4 linked regions of the Saccharomyces cerevisiae S288C genome follow. The gene in region 2 interacts genetically with the main gene of each other region. Each region holds a gene or a part of one and is shown on either strand. Other genes may lie near its edges.

The links.
Region 1: mutations in DPB3 (region 2) and UBP7 together harm fitness more than expected from each alone (negative genetic interaction), as found in Saccharomyces cerevisiae (2 studies listed by BioGRID).
Region 3: mutations in DPB3 (region 2) and ROX1 together harm fitness more than expected from each alone (negative genetic interaction), as found in Saccharomyces cerevisiae (2 studies listed by BioGRID).
Region 4: mutations in DPB3 (region 2) and YJR142W together harm fitness more than expected from each alone (negative genetic interaction), as found in Saccharomyces cerevisiae (2 studies listed by BioGRID).

What each region holds. Positions count from the first base shown.
Region 1 is NC_001141.2:41,892-51,806, reverse strand, and holds UBP7 (ubiquitin-specific protease UBP7), read right to left. Parts: upstream 3,717-9,915; coding exon 501-3,716; downstream 1-500. Other genes in the region: GUT2 (glycerol-3-phosphate dehydrogenase), read left to right, coding at 1-48; ATG44 (mitofissin), read right to left, coding at 3,834-4,046, 4,109-4,117; COA1 (Coa1p), read left to right, coding at 4,265-4,858; AIM20 (Aim20p), read right to left, coding at 4,992-5,606; formin BNR1, read right to left, coding at 5,855-9,915. UniProt on the Saccharomyces cerevisiae protein: Involved in the sorting of ubiquitinated cargo proteins at the multivesicular body (MVB).
Region 2 is NC_001134.8:758,564-761,399, reverse strand, and holds DPB3 (DNA polymerase epsilon noncatalytic subunit), read right to left. Parts: upstream 1,107-2,836; coding exon 501-1,106; downstream 1-500. Other genes in the region: PAF1 (Paf1p), read right to left, coding at 1-143; tyrosine/serine/threonine protein phosphatase PPS1, read left to right, coding at 1,357-2,836. UniProt on the Saccharomyces cerevisiae protein: As accessory component of the DNA polymerase epsilon (DNA polymerase II) participates in chromosomal DNA replication.
Region 3 is NC_001148.4:678,180-683,377, reverse strand, and holds ROX1 (Rox1p), read right to left. Parts: upstream 3,686-5,198; coding exon 2,579-3,685; downstream 1-2,578. Other genes in the region: HOS1 (histone deacetylase), read left to right, coding at 1-437; ISA2 (Isa2p), read right to left, coding at 601-1,158; NEDD8-activating protein UBA3, read right to left, coding at 1,266-2,165; YPR064W (uncharacterized protein), read right to left, coding at 4,008-4,427; YPR063C (uncharacterized protein), read left to right, coding at 5,058-5,098, 5,185-5,198. UniProt on the Saccharomyces cerevisiae protein: Transcription factor that represses the expression of HEM13, COX5B, ANB1, CYC7 or AAC3 (hypoxic function). Binds to the DNA sequence 5'-RRRTAACAAGAG-3'.
Region 4 is NC_001142.9:695,260-698,838, forward strand, and holds YJR142W (uncharacterized protein), read left to right. Parts: upstream 1-1,881; coding exon 1,882-2,910; downstream 2,911-3,579. Other genes in the region: HIR3 (Hir3p), read right to left, coding at 1-437; IPA1 (putative polyadenylation protein), read left to right, coding at 647-1,690; PMT4 (dolichyl-phosphate-mannose-protein mannosyltransferase), read right to left, coding at 3,067-3,579.

The sequences.
Region 1 (9,915 bases), on a different chromosome or scaffold from region 2:
TGGGAACTTGAAAAAACTGTGAACTTCATCAAGACGTTTGGTGTCTAAATCGATCATGATAGTTAAGGGTGACAAAGATAACATTCACAAGAGTAATAATAATGGTAATGATGATAATAATAATAATGATAGTAATAACAATAATAATAATGGTGGTAATGGCAATGAAATCGCTATTATTACCTATTTTCCTTAATGGAAGAGTTAAAGTAAACTAAAAAAACTACAAAAATATATGAAGAAAAAAAAAAAAAGAGGTAATAGACTCTACTACTACAATTGATCTTCAAATTATGACCTTCCTAGTGTTTATATTCTATTTCCAATACATAATATAATCTATATAATCATTGTGTAGACTTCCGTTTTAATATCGTTTTAATTATCCCCTTTATCTCTAGTTTTATCATAAAATATAGAAACACTAAATAATATTCTTCAACGTCCTGGTGCATACGCAATACATATTTATGGTGCAAAAAAAAAAATGCAAAATTTTGCTAGTCATAAACCCTTTCATAAAACAATACGTAGACATCGCTACTTGAAATTTTCAAGTTTTTATCAGATCCATGTTTCCTATCTGCCTTGACAACCTCATCGTCGAAATAGTACCATTTAGAACGCCCAATATTCACATTGTGTTCAAGGTCTTTATTCACCAGTGACGTGTAATGGCCACTGATTAATGTGCCTGTATGGTTAACCACTCCAAATAGCTTATATTTCATAGTGTCATTGTTTTTCAATATAATGTTTAGTATCAATGGATATGTTACGACGGTGTTATTTTTCTTGGTCAAATCGTAATAAAATCTCGATAAATGGATGACTAAGATTTTTGGTAAAGTTACAAAATTTATCGTTTTCACTGTTGTCAATTTTTTGTTCTTGTAATCACTCGAGTTGTTACTATCATTACCACCAGTACTGAACGGTGTACTGGAACTGGACCTCTTCCCACTACCACCCAACATCCTGAAGGGTGATCTGGACCTTTCTCGTTCAAAGATTGTCGTATTATTATTATTGCTATTATGGCCCTCAGTAATACCGTCTCCAAAAAAGTCGAGATGACGACGCTTGGTTCCTGTATGTAATGTAAAAAACCGACTTTTTTTCTTTTTACTCTTAACAATGGATGGCTCATTCTCTAATGCAGACACAGATGTAGACACAGACGCCGTGGGGCCACAGCGTGGGCAATCCCATGCATTTTCACCAGAGAGTACCTCATCGCTTGTAAACATATTAATACAATCCTCTAACTTAACTCTTTTCTCAGTAGACCTACCAAGTTTACTCAACTTCATGGAACGTCTTGGTATAGCCAGTGATAAAACATAAAATGTGCTATAGTTGAAAGTAGTGTAACCGCACCTTTTACATTGTAAGCTGTTCTCCATTTGCCCTTGAAAAATGTCATCAATAGGAGATATACCATTACCAATGACATTTTTGTCAAACCAGTGCTTATATTCGTTGTTTGAAACCTTTAGGGCATCTGCATTATACAATAATAAATTCGGATAATCGTTCGCTACATGCTGTTGGTCGGAAAGTTCATCGTGTAACCTGTCTAAAAGTATCATTAGGAACTCTTGGGTATCCTGTTGGTCATCAGGAATTTTCAAATCGGGACGCAATTGATTGATAACTTTGAGAAATCCTGTTGGGACAACTGAGCAACCACCATTTAGATACATCTTGTTGAAGAGCATACTTAGTGAATTCGAAAGTTTAGGAGAATAATGAGATCCGTTGCTCCTTATTGGTTGCAGATAGCTCTTATATTTGGATGAAATGAAGAGTGTCCGGAATGTTTTCGCAGCGAATAGACATTGTATCATACTATTAATGTAACATGTATTGCCCAAATTTCTTAGTCCCGTGATGGACAACGAAACGTATACGTTTGGACTGCGTTCAATAGTTGGAATATTGTACGCCCTTTGCGGTTGTAATATTTGTTGGTCGTAATGCTGATGCTGGTGCTGTCTTTTTCTTTGAATAATTTCATTGGAGTTAAGTTGTTCCTTTTTGACATGCTGCTTTGCTGGTATTGGCGGCTTTCGAGAGATAGAACTGACTTGTGAATGAACCATTATCTTAGGGGGCAGAGGAGGTGGAATTTCTGGGGTTGTGGGCATTGATACAGGCGGTGGAGGTGGAGGACGTTTCCTTAACCTTATAGGCAGGTCAGGGGGCTTCCAGGAGGGAGGCTCAGGAACTTTTGTAGATGATTCCTTAGCGGAAAAAGAGTCCTGAGAATCCGGCTGCTGCTGCTGCTGCTGCTGCTCCTGTTGTAAGCGCGCCTTCTGTGAGTAAGGTCTGTACAAGTAATCTTCAATAGAGATATGATACTCCTGGGCATACGAATGCAGAGTTTTCTTCCATTTTTCGTACCCACCTAAGAGGGTAGTAGGTACAGTTGTTAAAGGAGTCTTCTGAGAAGTCAGCATCAAATAAAAAAAAATAAATGCATAATCAAAATTTATAGTCATGAAGGTCTTCACATCAGTATAGTAAACAATGTAATCAAATTTATTACGGTTTATAAAATTCTCATTCTCCTTCAGTAAATGTTCCAATATGTCATCCTTGTAGATAGGTGTGTTCGTCTGCTTGTCCCACAACAAGTTTGGATCCACATTCACTAAGTTCGGAGCCACAATGTGATTTATTGCAGATCTTTGTGGTATTCTCAAGTCGATGAGTAAAACCTTTTCACGTTCAACGCGATTCGATAAAATACTAAACAATTCTGGTGCTGTGATTATACTCTGCTTTTGTAAAATATCCAAACTCTGGATGAAGCCATCATTCTCAACGTTGAACAGATCATCATTGTCTTCCTTGAGGTTGCCGCTATCCACCATATAAACAGAATGGTAAGAATCCTTTCGATGAGTTACTGATCTATCTGCGGTTATTTCTCGAAATGGTGGGTTCAAAGATGCGAAACTAGTGTCATCCTCGTGGTATATGGAGGGTACATCTTCCAATAAAACAGATGGTCTCACTGGAACACTTGTCTTTCTTTCAGGCTCACGAAAAGCTGGCGTTGGTATCACTTCGGGCAATAAAGCCAGTTTCAATTGGTCGTTGGGCTCTAAGTTTGGTGCTGTCCAAACAGGTGAAGATTGTTCTGCGTCGTCTTCAGTAAACGTGCCTTTGAGGCCATGATCTTGCGGTGCCGCGGTGTCAAGTGATAGTGAAGCTACCTGACCTGAAAGATCGTCAGCTGGAACTGAAAATGCCCTCTTCTTGGTGATTCTGTGCTCAATACCGGCCCCGTGTTTAACCGATTCATCTAGGACCACACCGATTTCTTTCTTCACCATAAGCACAACATTGGTCATGTTCATTTCATTCTCATACATCTTTTTTAGATCTGTATAGATGCTGTAGGACTTGTTTCGTGTTTGGAACTGCAAAGATTGTGGAATAATTAAGAACACGTAGTAGCATCCAATGATAAACGCTGTCAGTGCATCGTTGGGCCTATCGTGATGGATTGAATCTAGATATAACTCGAATAGGTACTCTGTATGCTCCAGAAGGTCCAGCAGCTTCTCCAGTTTTAGCTGCGGATAGTAGTGCTTGATATCTTCGTGGTACAGGTCCTGGACCCTTCGCAGTAATTCATTTGAGTACTCAGGCGTGAACGGCGTTATATGTGGATGCATGGCCGTGCCCTTATCATCGTCTAGCATTTAAAGTTCTATGCGTAATCGATAGCGATAGCTCTTTAAGTTGCGGTTATTAATTTTGGCCCCCGGCTGGGTGCCGTTATACAAAATATTATCAACATATATAGAATATAAACGTACCTATTTCCTAGCGAAATACGTCGAGGAGCCACAAGTGGCAACAGAATAGTCGTATACAGACTCTCCCAAGTTCAAGTACCGCTTCATGTAGTTTCTCATAGTCTGATTGTCCAGAGTCTCCAGTTTAGGCGTCAAACCTGTATTGCGTTTAATCCCCGCGAGGCACGTTGATACCAAGACCAAATCTATGGATATGTGTACTAGTTTCCCTACCTAACCAATTTCTCTTGTTAGTATTACCGGATGCGTTGTTAGTAGCTCATTTGGGTACTTACTAATGTCATCTCTTTGCGTTTTGCTTGTTCTTGTTTTGATCATTGTGGAGAGAAAGAAAGCGCCTTCTTGTCATTTTAATCCCAGTTTTAAAACAGTTCGATCTTTCTCTCCGTACCAGTCCACGACATAAAAGTAAAAGATAAAACAGACTATACATGATGTTAAGACTAGTAACTAAAGGGTTGCCGAAAGTGACACCTTCTGCAGCTAAGGCTGTGCTAGTGCGTGGTTCCTTGCTGCACTCATTCTCTACCAGCGCTAGATTCAATAATAGTGTCGCTGAAGATGAGGCCAAGATCGTTTTGAAAGACAAGAACAGGCCATTGAGAATTGACAGAGAATTGCCTGACCCAACCACGGAGAGGAGAAAGCGAATAGCTGGATTTTTGTTGTTTTCTGTGGCCATTGGGTCCGCACTATCTTTGATCTTCAACTATGAAAAGACGGAGTCCCCCATTATCTCCAACACGCTGTATTATATAAGACGGTCTCCAGCAACTAAAAACATACTGGGTGAGAGCATAGAATTTGATGGTATCATCCCTTGGGTCTACGGTGAACTGAACTCTGTGAAGGGTAGGATTAACATTACGTTTTATATCAAGGGGGACAAAAACGTTACTGGAACCGTTAGACTGGTTGCCGATAGGAACACTCACGACGAAGAGTTTTTGATTCATGAATGGAGCGTCACTGCCGCTGGCCAAAAGATCGATTTGCTAGCTGAAAATACCAAGACACCAATTTAATAGCAAGTATGGTGCTATTTGTCTGTAAATATCCTTTATTATTATTTTATTTTTATCGTTATTACAAGTGGTCTGGGTATCTATACAAATGCAAAACTATGTAGGTACGTTTATATATCTATATGCATATATATTAGTGTGGCCGTAAGCTGTCAATAAATTCTCTCTTGTTGACAGTATAATTCGTAAAATCGTTTTCATATGGGTCATCCAGTTTTATTTCTTCGTGTAACGCAGTATTTTCTGTGCTCGATGACAAGTTTGACGTAGAAGCTGATCTCAAACTACTCGTTTCTTTGCGCGATAGCGTCAGTGGATACATAAAACTATAGGAAGGATCTCTGACCATCCCATAATTCACCTTTTCGCCGCTGAAAATGACGGGGACATTGGTATATGCAGTGCTCTGCTTTTTTGGACGCAAAGTCCCCATACTAGCGTTCAATTGCCTTCTGTATGCTGGTGTGTACCCTGCCTTGGCGGTTTTTTCTTGGCAGGGTTTAAGATCCTGGTTTGCTTCCTTTTCGTTTATCGTGGAAGCTTCACTTGAGCTGTTAATTTCGGCTTTAAAACCATCATATACCGACACTGCCACTTCTTCCATTACCATCTTCTCCAAATCAGCATCTCTAATCTCTTCTTTTTTGTAACGTCGTTGTAATTTACACCAAAATATCAGGGCTATTATTACGCCCACAGCAATTGGAATCCCAACTGCCGTTCCCACTGCCACAGACACATTGCCCATCTTTATTCAATAGTCTGTTTTGATGATTGAAAAGTAGATTGTTTTGAGCTAAAAATTCGATGCTTTCTGTGCTTATTTTGAAATTTATTAATGAATCTGTCCATCTCCAAATCTTAGTTCTTAACTAGGAAATTTGTCAACACGACCACCGCCCGAAAAGGGAAAATATTTCCCTTTTGAGAAGCGATTGCGAATATTGTCCATTTCTTTATATAAGCTCCACAACTACATAAAATACTAAGTCTTCACTATATATTTTGAATATCGTTCAGCATAGCATGCGTTCTCTCTAGTAAAACGTGATCTTCATCCTTTCTCGTTTTTACATCTCCTTCATGTACGTTAATGGCTATTTCATTGAGTTTTGTACTCTTTCTTCTTCTTAGAGGTTCTGGATCCTTCTTTACTTCGCGTAATTTAGATATGAGTAGATCAACAGCATCCCTGTTTACTTTTTCACCATCGTTTTCATCACTTCCATTGCTTTTCTTATTACTGCTTGTCCTCATATCTAACAAGCTCTTCCTTTGTTCGTACACTCTTTCCATTTCCTCCTTTTCAATGTTTTCCTTGGCACATTTCTTAAACATGGCTAAAAATTCAATAAAGGGTTGGAAAAATTCGTTTTTACTCTCTTTATCTTTGGGATCTTCACCGTAATATTTCATCAGTTTATTCAAATCTATTAAAGTTAATTTACATTGACCAATCAATAATTCACTTTTTGTTTTGGCCCGATTAATCTTAAACTTGACCTTTTTAATAATTTGATCTCTGGGGTCTAAGTTCTCCTCTTTGGATAGCTTTCCTACTTGAAACTGAGTAACTAAATCCTCAATTTTTTTATGAAATTCATGACACTCTGATTCAACGTGTTCTAGTGAGATTTTACCTAAATCTTCAATGTTCTTCAAATCATCCACAAAACCGTATATATCAGGATATTTTATTCTTATGACTTTTTCAATAAAATGCAAAAATGATACATTTTGATCAATACTGGATCTGACAAAGGCAAGTTTAGTCAATGACTTCAATTTGATACCCTTAACAATTCTTTTATTCATATGATTGCCTATTTCCGTGATAATAAACATCAAACTTTTAAATTTAGGTGAACGATTTAAGTGTGAAATTGCATCATCAATTTTTTGTAACTTGAAAATCAAATCGTAATAATCTCTCTCGTATGTTGACAATGTCAGCAGACTCTTTGATCTTGCATTCCAATAAAATCTTAAATTGATACACAACTCCAAAAATATTCTGTCAGCTCTTTGTAAGTCACTTACTGCTTTACCATCCTTACCCTGTGAATATGGCTCGTACTTATTAAGCATACTTTTTGGTATATTTACTAACTCTTCTTTACAAAAAAATTTCAGTATGTTAACATTTTGGACAATGTCGTTATCACAGTTCAATACTTTCATAACAAATTCCATATCAGATAATTGGGAAAACATGTGTAAATTAATACCAAATTGCTGAGCCAAATCTCTTGATAAGAATGAAATTTTCTTCAGCTCATTGGAAGACTTGCCATTGTTTGAAGACAAGGCAATTGAGGATTCTGCGTTCCTTTTATTTGCAATCTTAGTCGGACTTTTCATCTTAAAAATATCTTCAATCTGAGAGAATATACCATCAGTTTGTAATTCTTTGATTGTTTCTTGGCGTTGAAACGTGTCTTCCCAAAGTGTGTCTTTGATATCCTCCACCTTATCCCAGTGGATTTGCTTCAATCGCTTTTCAGTTGGAGGTGGTTTTAAATCGGTTGTCGTTGGATTGATAGACACTGAGGAGGAAGAAAGAAGACCATTTGGTAAAGGTGGAGCTGGAGGAGTAACTAAATCGTGATTGGAGGGGCCTTTGTTCATCGACAAGGACTCGGGTAAAGGCGGTGGCGGTGGTGGTGGTGGAACGGCGCCACAAGTTTTAGTTTTAAATAGATCTGGAAGGGGTGGCGGTGCAGGTGCTGCAATACAGGAAACACCATCCGGTTTAGCTTCTGCTTCAGTCAAAAGAGACTGTGGAAGTGGAGGAGGGGGAGGTGGAGGAGGGGGCGGTGGAAGTTGAGGTAGTTTAACAACTTCAGGTACTAGTTGGATTCCATTATCAAGACTATCTGAGGAAAGTCGAGGGAAAAGTTTTGGTGAAGAAGAAACCGAAGACAACACGGGAGACGATTGGTAATTAGGTTGTGTTCCTAGGCTATTTGAAAATTCCAACTCTGAAAGTATCGAATTTAGAGAGACATTTTGCATATTAGTAATATTTTTCATAGAAGGGATATTAAAATTAATGGTTGACGTAGATCTTTGAAATAATGAGTCTTTTGATTTATCTTCGGATTCATTTTGGGACTCATTTTCGTTATTTGCATCAGTTAAATATGATGAAAGGGACGTAACTCTTTTACTTTTTAGTAGACTAGTTGAACGCTTGGGCAGAGAAATTTTTTGCTGCTGCTGTTGCTTTTTTGCTAAATTTTGGAAAATGATATTTCCATGACTATTATTTTTTATTATCGAGCCGGCAATACTCAAGTTGCTACTTGCCAATGAAGGTGGCTGGTCATATAACCTTTGATGCGTGGTAATTTGGTCTAGTCTTTTCTTGGTTGCCTTCAACTGCAGTTTCAGATTTTCAATTTCCTTGGTTTTCAGAGATATCAAAGATTCACTTTCATCTAGTTTTGCTATTAAATGATCTTTATCATGATTTTCTACTAAATTTAATTTTTCATTCAAATGAGAAATCTTAGCATTAAGATCATCAATTTCTGTGACCGCTCTTCTAGCAATTTCATCAGATTGTAGAGAATCCAACAATTTATTAACAGAATCTTGAAAAACATAATCCACATTTTCTGCGGACTCCAAGGTTTCATCAAAAGAAGGATTCGTTGACACTTGAAAGGAATCTATGAGATAAAACAGCAAAGAATTTATCAATTTTAATAGTTTAATAGATTCTGAGTATGGTTTTTGAGAGTCTAAGATTTTCCACAGCGATTGAATAATCTCGTTTATTGGTGCCTCTACGGGACTATCTTTTGCCTTCAATAACAGGCAATTTTCAAGACATAGAGGCTCGCTTTCTATTCTTGCGATATCTTTTGTTGGGTGAAGCGAATTCGTATCGTTGGTAGTTTTTATCATCGAGTCAAATATCGCAGATTCTTTGGATTTGAATTGTTTTATTTGTTCCATGATCACGACACTATTAGGATCATCTTTATAGGCCAGTTCTAAAAATGTGATAGTGTTATGTATATTATTCTTTTTCAAAAAATTCAAAATTTCTAGTGCAGTCTTGTTGTTGAAACCTTGCAGTATGGAGTTTATTAGCAGTAGGAAAGTTGTCGAATAGTCTATTTTTAATTGGTTCCAGTTCAAATAAAGGGATGAATGAATTGCAATATCATCCGCAAGGATTTTGTCAAACCATTCTAGCCAATCGGTGAATAATATGGAAAGCTGGTCCCATATCAACTCACAACCCGTGGAACCCTCAACATACGTTAATAATAAAAGTAACTCCATAGAAAGTAACTGACATTTCAAATTAGAATTTTGATCCGTCAGAAGCTCGGTGAACCAGCGAATTAAAGGCTCAGAATGTAGTGCTCTTATTCTCGCCAGTGGGTTGTTCATCAGTATTTTAAAGCACCGAAGATAAACAAATTGTAATTCCTTGGATATGAGTGGCAAAGTCTTTTCGATCAATGTCGTCAAGTAAATTTCATCCTTGAGAAAAAGTTGCAAAAAGCTTTGCTTTCGCAGGAATTTTTCTAGTTTATATAGAGCCTTCGATAACTTCATGCCACCTGTTGAAAGGTTTCTAACTAGGCCATCCAAAAAGTGTGCGTTTTCAGCTAGTTCATTAGTGGCCAAATGTGTAGAGTATGTCGTGCTCGAAGTCACTTTCTTTTTCCCCCAATGATTGGAACTACGGATTTTACATATCAATAACCATTTCCTTCGTAGAGAGATGTTTTGTAAATTCTTATAAGCAGCCCCCCAAAAAAAAGTTCCATCTTTTAAAAGCTCATCAAACATTCTTTCGACGAGTGATGCGTCCTGAGGCATGCACTTCGGATTAAAATCCATTTCCGATCCGTTCACTTCTTCGGAAACCATTGGTGACGAAGAAACGTCATTAGCTGAGAAATTCTTCTGTTTCATGTATATATGTGATCCTGTACCTTGTTTCTCTAACGCTACACCGACCAACTGCAAGCCAGCGGCAACCAGCCCATCGTTCAAATTCAATTCTTCCAATTTACGGGCTTCGCTGACCCTAT
Region 2 (2,836 bases):
ATGTATAGTGAATTGATTAGTTGGGAGGAGTCTGCATTCGTCTCCGGAGACTCGGGGTAAACCAGAAGTTTAGGAGGTAATTGTGGCACAGGCAAGCTGTTTTGGTATTTTATTGGTGCAATATATTCCTGTTTTTTGGACATTGTGACCCTTTATACTATTATGAGCACTGTTCTATTGTACTGAATACATTTCTGTCTATAATTAACAACGTATCAATAATGACAGTATTAATTCATCCAATGTTACAGTCGTCATTTTTTTCTTTTTCCATTTCAGAAAGACAAATTAAGTTATTCGTGTAATGTGATTATTATTTTAAAGCCCTTGTTTTTCTTCCCTACATAACAGCTCTAACCTACAAAATATTAATTATCCCTAAGCTTTTTCGAGATGTCCTTTTAAAATAGTAAGTTCAAGGTTAGGGTTCTCATTGCGTGTATGTATATGTATAACATATTGCATCGAATAGTAATTACATAGCAATAATAGCAACAACACTAAGGATCGGTGCTTTTCGTATGGTCAACTTCGATATCAGAAGAGTCGGAGTGTTCTCCTACGTCTAGTGCGGATTTATACTGGAATCTCGACAGCAAGCTTGCCACACTGCGCGTGGATTTATCATTTTGTTGATCTTTACTATCATCAAGAAGTTCTTCATTGTGTACGGGCTCTTCTTCTTCGGATACCTCGTCTTCTTCTTCTTCTTCCTCTACACCATCATCCTCATGCAATTCAGGCTCTTCTATAACAACCTCTTGATCGCTCCGACCCGGTTGCATGTTTAGTTCTCTCTTCTTGTCGAGTGCGCTATTCTTCTTCAGTTGTTTAATGGCATCCTCTAGAAACCTGAAATTATCTCTTTTTTCGACACATTCTTCTATAGAATTTAGGCTTAATCGTAGGCTTGTCTTTCCTTTCGAATTCAGTTGTGCTAAGACCAGCGATTCTTCGACGAGATTCTGTACAAATAACTCAGCAGCGAATGCGGTCGCTGATATAGCTACATTAGATGTAATTACGTATTCGGGGTCGCATTTGGCAATCTTCTTTACTTTAGATATAGGAAAGACAGGTGCTTTTTCTTTAACTAAGTTGGACATTTTTTTTGCAACACGGTTGACCCTTGCTTGTTTTTATCTGTTGGGGCAGGCAGTTGTTAAGGCCATTAATTTCGCGTAATAAAAATAAATTATTACTTCAAAAGCATCATGGAAACATAATTGCAAGAGTTTTTAAGGTTCAAAAAGAAAAGTACAAGAAGAAGTAAAAAAGTGAAAAGAAACACCAACCATAAAAGAGAGATTGTCATTGAGGTAGAAGGGGCGGGTATAGAAAACTAGAGCAACAACCATGGTTTTGGAAGTGCCCTCAATCACACCTGGTGAACTGCATGATCTTATGCGACTACATCAGGATGCAGAATGGCCTGAATGTAAAAAAATGTTCCCCTGGGCTCATGATATTTCCTTTGGTCAACCACCCGATTTTCCTCATTCTCTTGCAATAGTCAAATCGCAATCAGATGCTAACAATTCTGCGCTTTTGCGTAATTCTCTCGAAGTGAATGATATCTTCCAGTCCTGGAAAGTTCGCACTTCCTTTCATAGAGAGGGCGATACCTGTGAAACTGGAAATGATTCTAATGGTTTTCAATATCCCAATAACACAAAGGAACTTTTGAACTTGCTAAAGTTTCAGATACGACAATTGGAATTGCAAGTGGATGATGTTGCTTTGGAAAACGCTGCTACTTATTGTCACAATCATAGCATTTTACCATTTCTGAAAGTAGATCCTCGTGGACTATCATTAGAACTTAAAAGGTATTCTAGAAACAAGGTTGGGTCTAATACCACGCTAAAACGGAGTGGGCAGGACGTCTGGGGAAGGAGAGGTCTATTCCGAAGGTTCGACCTGCAATGTGCCAAGATGATAGAAATGGTTGATAATATAGTAATTTATTGTTCGCGGACTGGTGGCAGCACTGATATGCAAACAGAATCAGCGCCAGCGTGCTCACACGAGGGAAATTGCCCCAATTGTACAACCCTTGCACTACTTTTACAGATCTGTTTAATGTTTGTTCAAAAGGGTTATGTAGGGAGTGGAGGATCGCTTTACAAGACGAATCTTTTTATTTGCACTTATCAGAATTTCAATACAGATATACCTCAAACTTTGATTGGTACACCTTTATTAGACAACGAATTTTTCAAGAATAATACTCCCTTGAATTTATGTTCGTCACCTAGTGAAATAGTGTGTTTCAATAACGTTGATAAGAATATGGTTTTGTGCGAGAAGTTAGAGTTGAATAAGCTGACTTCAGCTACACGATTGGAGGAAACAGGGTTGATTTGCGGTAACACCACTGATTGGCATAATTATCAAATAATTAAAAAAAACAATATATCTCTGACCCACCGTTTCGAAGAGAATACAAGCATAGTAAATTTAAAGTCTCTAAATTATGATACGGACAATCCGACAACCTCCATTTCTCAACTGTATAACATACCGAATACAAAAGAGGTGTGGAAATTGATCATAAAATGTACGTCAAACTCGCAAATGCCGTCGTTAACGAAAATCCGAACATATCTAGATCTTTTATTAGACGATGATGCGTCAAAATCACAAGAGCATTTGCATTTGACTTTCCCTGCCTCAGGTAGTATAGGTTTGGGGAACTTAAACATTCAGTCTGTGGAAATTCTTTTGAATGTTTGTTATTTAATATTTCAAGTATCCCAAGTTCAAGAATTATTGACGTTCATGTATTGCGAAGACGGATATACAGAAACGTCATTATTATTAACAGCTTATATTA
Region 3 (5,198 bases), on a different chromosome or scaffold from region 2:
TAATAATTGAATGTGGTGGTGATGGGCTTCTGGGTGATAGATTCAATGAATGGCAGCTAACAATACGAGGGCTTTCTCGAATCATCATAAATATCATGAAAAGTTATCCTCGAGCGCACATATTCCTACTTGGAGGGGGTGGGTACAACGATTTACTAATGAGTAGATTTTATACGTACTTGACTTGGTGTGTTACAAAGCAGTTTTCCAACTTAAGATGTGGTGACAATAATTCGTTCCAAATCGATCCATTTGATGTCTGTGATGGTGATGATTCTGAACAATTTATACGTGAACATGATCTTGTTGAAATGTATAATGAAGAGAACTATCAGTATTGGATATATGAGATGGAAGGAAGTTCTCGAATGAAAATGTTAAGGAATGACAATAAGGATAGAGATATGGTCGAACTTATGAAGTTTTACGAACTGTAAGATAGTTTTAATTAGTCGTTTGAATACAAATTAATAATGCGAACGCCGCAGCGTTTTATCCCGTAATGCTCTTGCTAGGTTTTCAAATATATAATAGAGACAATTAAGTAAAAAAATGCTTGGCAGCTGGGCATGCTATATACAGGGATGAATATAATACAGCTTAATTTTCAATATCAAAACTACTTCCACAACCACAACTACTTTTTAGGCTACCATTGATGATTTTGAACGAAGAACCGATCAACTCATTAGTGTATGTCAGTGTAGTGTTATTCAAAATGTTTAGTGATTTACTATCAATTATCACTCGACCCTTATCTTCGGGTAACACGTATATTATATCCTTGGAATCATCATCGTCAAGGTCGTCTGAAAACTCCTTGTCTTTGACATCATTCTTAATATCTGGCTTGGTAGCGGGTTCTAGAGTTAGATTGTACTGGAAACCGTGACATCCACCACTTTCCACACTAATTCTTAAATTTTCCTTACTATTGCGGTAGATCTCAGCTAGTCTGTTGGAAGCCCTCTCAGAAATAGATAAGTTTAACCCAGGCGTCTTATTTATTATTCTTTTCGGTGTGATCAACGGCTCCTTAGTGACCAGATCCGAGTAAAATGCTTTGCTATGAAATAAAAAACATGTTAGGGGAAACTGGCGTAAAGTTGTGGAGGGACGTCTAAAGTTTAGTCTGGTAAACAATAATTTAGCCTGCATACCTTCTTTACTGTGCAATCACATGTACAAGGCTCTCTAGGATCTCGACTTACTTGCAAGATGTTTAAACAAGTGACACCGGCGGATGGTATTATTCATTAGTAATACTAGTTGGAATTGGAATTTGAACAAACAGTACAGTCGGGTAACCGCTCGAACTTGAAACTGTACATAAAACACCCTTCTGAGCAGTTAATCAAAGTGAAATTATTGCCGTTTTCCAGGTCGATTAAATCATTATAAATCTTAACCATCTGCGTACAGCATGTCGCTGCAACCATCGCATTCGTAGTGCTTACACTAGGTATGATACTCTTTATTATACCCAGGATAAAACTTGTTGATAATTTTTCTGTTGAGATGCTAAATTGGGCAGCCCTTTCGCAGCACTTCTCCAGCAGAAATTCCATATCCGCCGTAGACTCAATATTTAAATCAGGGTATTGTATAGTTGAGACATACTCCACAACATGCTCAATGCAGCGAGGATTGTTGGCGATTGTACACATTGGCACAGTATCCTGCTGCGAGGGCAAGGTATCAATGGAGCACTCCCAGCATGCAGTGATGCCTGGAATGATTGTTTTTACATGTCCCTTGAGCCCCTCTGTTCCACCATCTATGAACGGGATGCAAATTTCATAATTGGACTCCAAGGTAAGCTTCACGAGAGTCTCATTGATGAAGCGACGAGGTTCAATGGCGTCCAGCCCCGAGATTATGAACTGGAAGTCTTTGTAAAAGCTCGGGGGCAAAGTGGTCAGGTCCTGTACGTGCGCCACAACTTCCAATTGAGGGAACCGCGTGTTTACATACTGGGCTGCCACTTGAGCTTTCGGTTTGCCTATGTCCTTATCACAAAAAAGAAATTGTCTATTAAGGTTGGTTAGCTCGATTGTGTCTATATCTACAATATGAACCTGTTTAACAAAGCTTAACATTGTCAAATTCTTCAGGATTTCGCATCCTAGACCACCTGCGCCTAACACCAATATCTTGCAGTCCATCCTCGTCGCTTTATTATCGATAATATAGGTATACAATATCTCATTGATTTGTTTTTTAAGTTTAAAAAAAAGGGCTTAAAAAACGACTATGCTGAAACATTATACAATAATACATATTTTTTTTTAAAGGAATGATATTATTTGTGAGGTGAATATATACGTGAAAATTGAGAATATAATTTTATATATTCAAATAGAATTTGTAGACTGTTTCTTTTTTCTTTTCTTTCTTTTTTGTCTCTGGGTACTTTGTTTTAATTTTGACTTTTATTTGCTGTTATTTTACATATTTTTCAATTGTTCTTTTGAGGCGATTTAAACTTTTATTAAACAGGAGCCAAATGCATAAATTTTTAGTTAAAGGGAATATAGTATAATATAATATAACGGAAAGAAGAAATGGAAAAAAAAAATCATTTCGGAGAAACTAGGCTAGTTTTAGCGGTGACCTCAGTGTTGCTTGAGTTTATAATTTGATGTAGAGGAATGTTTTGGTTTGGTATATGAGGAATGTGATGATGCGTAGGGGTAGTTGTGGACAATAGATTGTTCCTGGTGTGAGACAGTGGTTTGACAATATAAGTTGGTCCCATCTGCTTTAGCTGCTGGTACTGATCCAGTTGAAAATCTTGCAGAGAAGGTAATAGAGGGGGAGGTAAATATTGATTTGAATTGTTGATACTGTTTAATCTGTTGTTCTCCAGTACAGAGGAGTTCGGAGAAGAGGAGAATTTCCCAGGAGAAGATGTCGCAGTTGTTGTGGATGTGGTAGTTGTAGTTACCGGTGTTTGACTGCTGTTGTTGATAATGGATGAAATAAAGGGCAATTGAGGGGTCGAGTTAGCCCTTGGTTGAGCTTGAGCGACGTTGAGGTAATGATGTCTCGTTGAAGGGTCGTGTGGAGCTGAGTAATATGGAATAGAATTTAGTTGAGATGACAGCTGTGGTAGGTCTCTTGCCGTCTTATCATGCGTCAAAGGTAGTCCACTTAAAGATCTGGAGACCATATAGTTAGAAGTATTAACAGAAGGAATAGGCAACCTCTTAAGATCATTGTTCAATTGGAACTGATAGCTGTTCGAGCTTGACACCGAGGAAGATGGTGAAAGAGAATGTGCTCTTTTCATAAGAACTATATTGTTGTTAAAGGGCTGTTGTAATTGCGGTTGTGACTGTTTCTGCTGCTGCTGTTCTTTCTGTTGTTGCTGCTGCTGTTGCTCGATTTCCTTCAAAAGTAGTTGCTTCTTCTTAGACTTTCTTACCGGCTTGTATTTGTATTCAGGATACTTCCTTTCATGTTCTAGTTTCTCCTTCTCCGCTAGATTTTCCCAGTGTGCCTTATCTTCCGGTTGTAAGCCCTTCCACTTCGTACCAATAATTTTAGAAATGTTTGAATTATGGGGTATTTCCACACCTTGAGCGGTCCATTCGTCTATTAAGATCCTGTGGTAGTGCTGTCTGAACAGAATAAATGCGTTCTTGGGTCTTGGAATCTTAGGTGTAGAGGATTTAGGATTCATTGTTGATTGTCTAACTGCGTTCTTTTGTGTGAAGAAGTATTAGTATTTTCTGGAATAATGAGGGGTGAAGAGGGAGAGTTAAGACACCGTAAATGTATAATTATATGCGAAAATTATAAAAGAAAGCAATGAGAAGAAACATTAAAACTGGAAAATAGTGCTATATTTAAGTAAAACTTCTGAAACTACAATTAGCAAATAAGATAGAGCAGAAAAGGAAAATGCAAGAGCGAAAAAAAAAAAACTTTGTTTAAGACCGTTACATTACGCAAAGTGAAAACGAAGAAAATATAATAGCAAAGAGCACTATAATAGTAAGAACCTACACACAAAAGACACAAAGAACACCGGCAAGACAATACGAGGAAGAACAACAAAAGAGGCAGCAACAATAGGCCCTTTTCTTCTTTGTCAGCAATCGCCAAGTTCTAGAACAAGGTTTTCCTACCAGATTTCCAATTGTTTTGCATAGTAATTCCCGGTAGTTCCACGCGGCCGATACCTCGACAGGCCAATGATATCCAGGGGATTTGTCGGCCGAGCCGAAGATCACCTGCCTCTCCGACGTCGGCTTTGCAGCTGCGGCAGCTCCTAGCGTAAGTAGCAGGAAAAAAAAGAAAGAAAATACTTTAAAGTACGCCTGCACCTGGGTTGCTCTAAACGGGAACAAGAGCCGGTTCCGATAACCGCACACTATTATTTCTAATCCCTCTACGTAATTGCTAAGCACACATGACTTCATACTTGCGTCACCCCGATTTTATTATTCCCTCCGGTTAAGCAAACGCCGCACCCCTGAGTCCGCCAGACCGGCCGCAAGAGAACGCAGTGTGTGTTCCTGTCTCTTTGCACGAACAAAGGAGATAGGACGGCACCCAGGCTCGCTAGGCGGCTACATGACTAAATGCCCAAGTTTCGTGCATTATGTAGAAGAAAATAGACGTCTGTGTAATCATTTCTTGAAGCAAAGCAATATTTGCAGGTTGAATGTAGGTCAACTGCATACTGGGAAGCGTTTTCTGACCGCTTCGGAAGCGTGAGCGGTCCGTCTCTTACAACTCGTTTGGAGCTACATGGTGAGACAACATTGGCGCGCACGCCAATGTTGTCCTTCTCAATGGCCATGCAAACACTGCTATTTTATCGATAACTGTTGTGATCTTGGCTTAGTTCTTGTGCTTTTTACACCCCGCAGTAGCGCTAGTTGTATGATTGCGGTTATCTGTCGCTTCTGTTCTCGTAACGCGCAACATGGAAGAAAAAATACTGAAAAATAATTTTAACAAAAGCTTGAGCAGAATGGGCATGGTACAACATCCATAGGCAAAAAAAAGGAATACATATACTCCGCTGCTACCTCCTCAACTAAACAATGACTTTGAATAACGTTGCAAGGCCCGACCTTTGTGTTTCGTATGTTTTTCACCGACAATTTTCTTTCAAATTTGCTGATATTGCCAATATATACTAACAGTTCAACCGCTCCCTTTCTACCACAGGTACAAGAAAATTG
Region 4 (3,579 bases), on a different chromosome or scaffold from region 2:
ACACTATTAAAGCTCTTGAAGATGCGAGCCAGCAAATCTGTAACTGCAAAATCAGCATCGCTATGTTGAATAGACTCAACCAAGTTCTCAACTGCTTTTAAAATACAATTAACTAGTTCTTGTGAGTTCAACCTTTCATAGTTATTCTCCAAATACAGATGATAGTACATCCCTCTGTTCCTATAACATAGATATCGCAGGTTATCTAGCGTAGGAGAAGAATTGCGATACATGCCCCACCTATCAGGCTTGACGACATCAATCTGGAAGAGCTCTTGGAATTTGCTGTCCGACTTTTCGAAGTCCTTGTTTTTTAGATCAATCAGAGCGTCCTGCAAAATATTAAAACTCTGTTCTATTTGAAGCTCTCTTGAATGCTCCTCTGCTTCATATTGTTCACCTTCGATGTTTGAATTGAGGGCATTGAACATAGACATAATAAGCTTTATCTAGAATCTGTGTTGAGGTTCTAACTCCTTAAAGTGCCTTTACGGACCTGCCTTGCTACCGTCTATTTGTATTTCTGCTCTTCCCAACGTAAACAATTCAATAAATAATTTCGCGATGGCACATAGTAACAAGCTGTTAAATCGAAGTAAAGAAAAGGAAAGTCAAGAAAACAAAGAGAGAAACAAATGCAAGGGTGATGGTTCAATATGTGGTAGAATGGTTACCAAGGATACAGAGCATTTCAGTGGTAGTAGAAGGTTGGAAGCAGGTGGAGATAAAGAACTTGAAGGACACACTCATGAGCATATCTGGTGATGAAGAACAAGTTGAAGATATTTTACTTCCAGTAGAAGTTGAAGAAAAAGTAGACGCTTCTTACAAGTTCAAAAACAGAGGTAAAGACTTAGAATGGATGACGAAGTTAAGAAGCAAATCCTCTAAGATATATGACAGTTCTATCATGTCGCTTCCAGATGGAAGATGGACTAAAGAAGAGCTTCGCTCAGATTCTGATTTCTCGATAGAATGTCTTAACTGTAAGCAAAAAATTATAAGCAAAGATAACTGTCAAGTTTTGAATGATATGCCTTCAGAGTTTTGGTTCGAGTTAATGGATTATTGGCATTGCCACAAACCCGATGTTAAGGAAGACAAGTCTTCCTACACAAGATTTGAAACGCTAAAACCATCTAAAAACGAAATTTTAATTGGAAGCTCTTATTTTCAAGGCACTCCTGCGACTTTTGAAAATGTAGCGACTACAAAGGAAAATGATAATGTTTTATGCATAAAGTGCTCAGCAGTGTTAGGCCAAGTAACTGCTGGTTCGCTTTATAAACTACACAAATGGAAACTGCAGTTAATACGCAGTGGAAACACATACAAATTTCCTCCAGAATGTGACATTACAATTTCTTTAATAAACGTAGTTAAGGCAAACTCTTGTCGTTACGTACTAGTAAAATGTAAAACGGAATCATTGCTAGTTTGGATATTTTCCGTTGACATTGGAGTCACATTGACGGGAAACAAAAGCTTCAAGAGAGCGATGAAGTTGCTTTACACAAACAGCGTTACCACAATAAATCGATGTCTCAATCGACAAGTCGTCGAGGAATTAGATTTCCAAGAAACATCGTTTAATGCTTTTTACAGCGCCCTTCAACATACTAATGCACTTTTACCCTCAAGCATGAAAAAAATTGGTGAATGGACCATTAGCTATACATCACTAATCTAATTTTAAGAACCATTCTCTTTCAAATTTGTACAAATATTGTCATCAAGTAATAAATAGCTTCTTTTTTTTTTTAACATACAGTTGTAGAATTAACTTCGTTGGCCGAAGAATTGCACAACAATAGCGTTTGTTATATTACTAAATATAGGGGCTTTCTTGGGAACGAAAGTGAAACAAACGCTTTTAATACAATGAAGGTCGAGAAATCATCTAAAGGCTTGGAAGTTTTAGTGAGGACACAGGAGGATGATCTAGAGGGGTTCTCTTTCCTGGAGATTATGGACCGCGTAGACCCTTTACCATTAGACTTCGAGAATTACAAAAATTTCAAAGAGGGCATTTACTATATGTGTACACACGATGGCACAAAGATCGGTTTCGTGTTGAAATTTGCGATAAATGAAATGGAGACTGTTTGCTCGGAAATCTTCGAAGAAACCTTCCAATTAGATGAATCTAGACATGAGTTAAGGTTTAAAAGTGAAGATTTTGATCATAGAAACAATCTAATTGACCAATTGGCTCGTAAAATGTATTTAGAATCATCCTTGAGTGGTGTGAAGGGCTGGAGAAACGAGAAATATGCCGTTTGGGTTAATAAAAAACCCTATGTACTGGTTGAGCGTGCAGTAGCAGGTGTTCTTGGTATAATTACCTACGGGATTCATATTAATGGTTATGTGCTAGATCCAAAGTCAAAAAAAGTTCAGTTTTGGGTTCCAAGAAGATCTAAAACGAAACAAACATGGCCGCTAATGCTTGACAACATTATCGCCGGGGGATTAGGTTATCCTTATGGTATCTATGAAACAGTTTTGAAAGAAAGCATGGAGGAAGCCAATCTAGAAAAGAGTGTTATTGAGGATAACATTAAAGCAACTGGTTCAGTTTCCTACCTTTACTTTACGGGTGATATTTCTGTAACGAAGTTCAATAAGGAATCAGATTTTATCGTAGGGGAAGTACAATATGTATACGATCTAAAACTCAGCGAAGACATCATTCCAAAACCAAACGATGGTGAAGTCGAGAGTTTCAATTTATTCAGCCTGCAAGAGACGATTAATGCTTTAAGAAAAAAAGAGTTCAAACCAAATTGTGCATTGGTAATGGTAGATTTCTTGATTAGACATGGCTACATCACTCCAGAAAATGAGCCCAATTATCTTGAACTAGTAACTAGAATGCACAGAAGGTTACCATTCCCCACCTTGAATTAACATTCAAGAGGTTACCGGTTGATATCTAAACAAATATAAAGAATTTTTTTCATATATACACATCTAGGTACATACTATCTAAGATCAAAAGTACTCTATTTTGTCACTAAACGGAGGAAGGCGTTCAGTTCGTTTGTGGTTAGTGAACAGAAAAAGTTACTTGGAGAAATTTAATTCTATGTCAAACCACTCTCTAGAAACAACTTCCGATGGTGACAAGCTGACATCTCCATACACTAGTGGTGAAAAGTATACAAAAAACCACGCAACAGCACAGGAGACACACACCAAGAAGACGGTATAGGGTTTAACGTAGACCTTAGGGTTCCGTTCATATGATGCACCTGAAATATCCTCGTCTTTCTCCAAATCCAATGATTTGCAATCACTGAAAATTACTTCCCATAGTGCTCCTGAGAATAAGCACGCGATTAAATGAGCTGGTAAGTAATGATGCAAAAACTTTTGACGCGCCATTAAAAAGAATGGAAAATAATGACAGCACCAGGAGACGAAGAAAAACATCAATGGGCCATACAGCTTTTCTCTGGTCATCTTGTTTAGGGCATAATAGCCACGATGTCTAGTAATTAAATCGGCCACGATAATGCCAACAAAAACAGCCAATGATATGACTTGGAACCACCACCCAATGATGTTACCAATGAA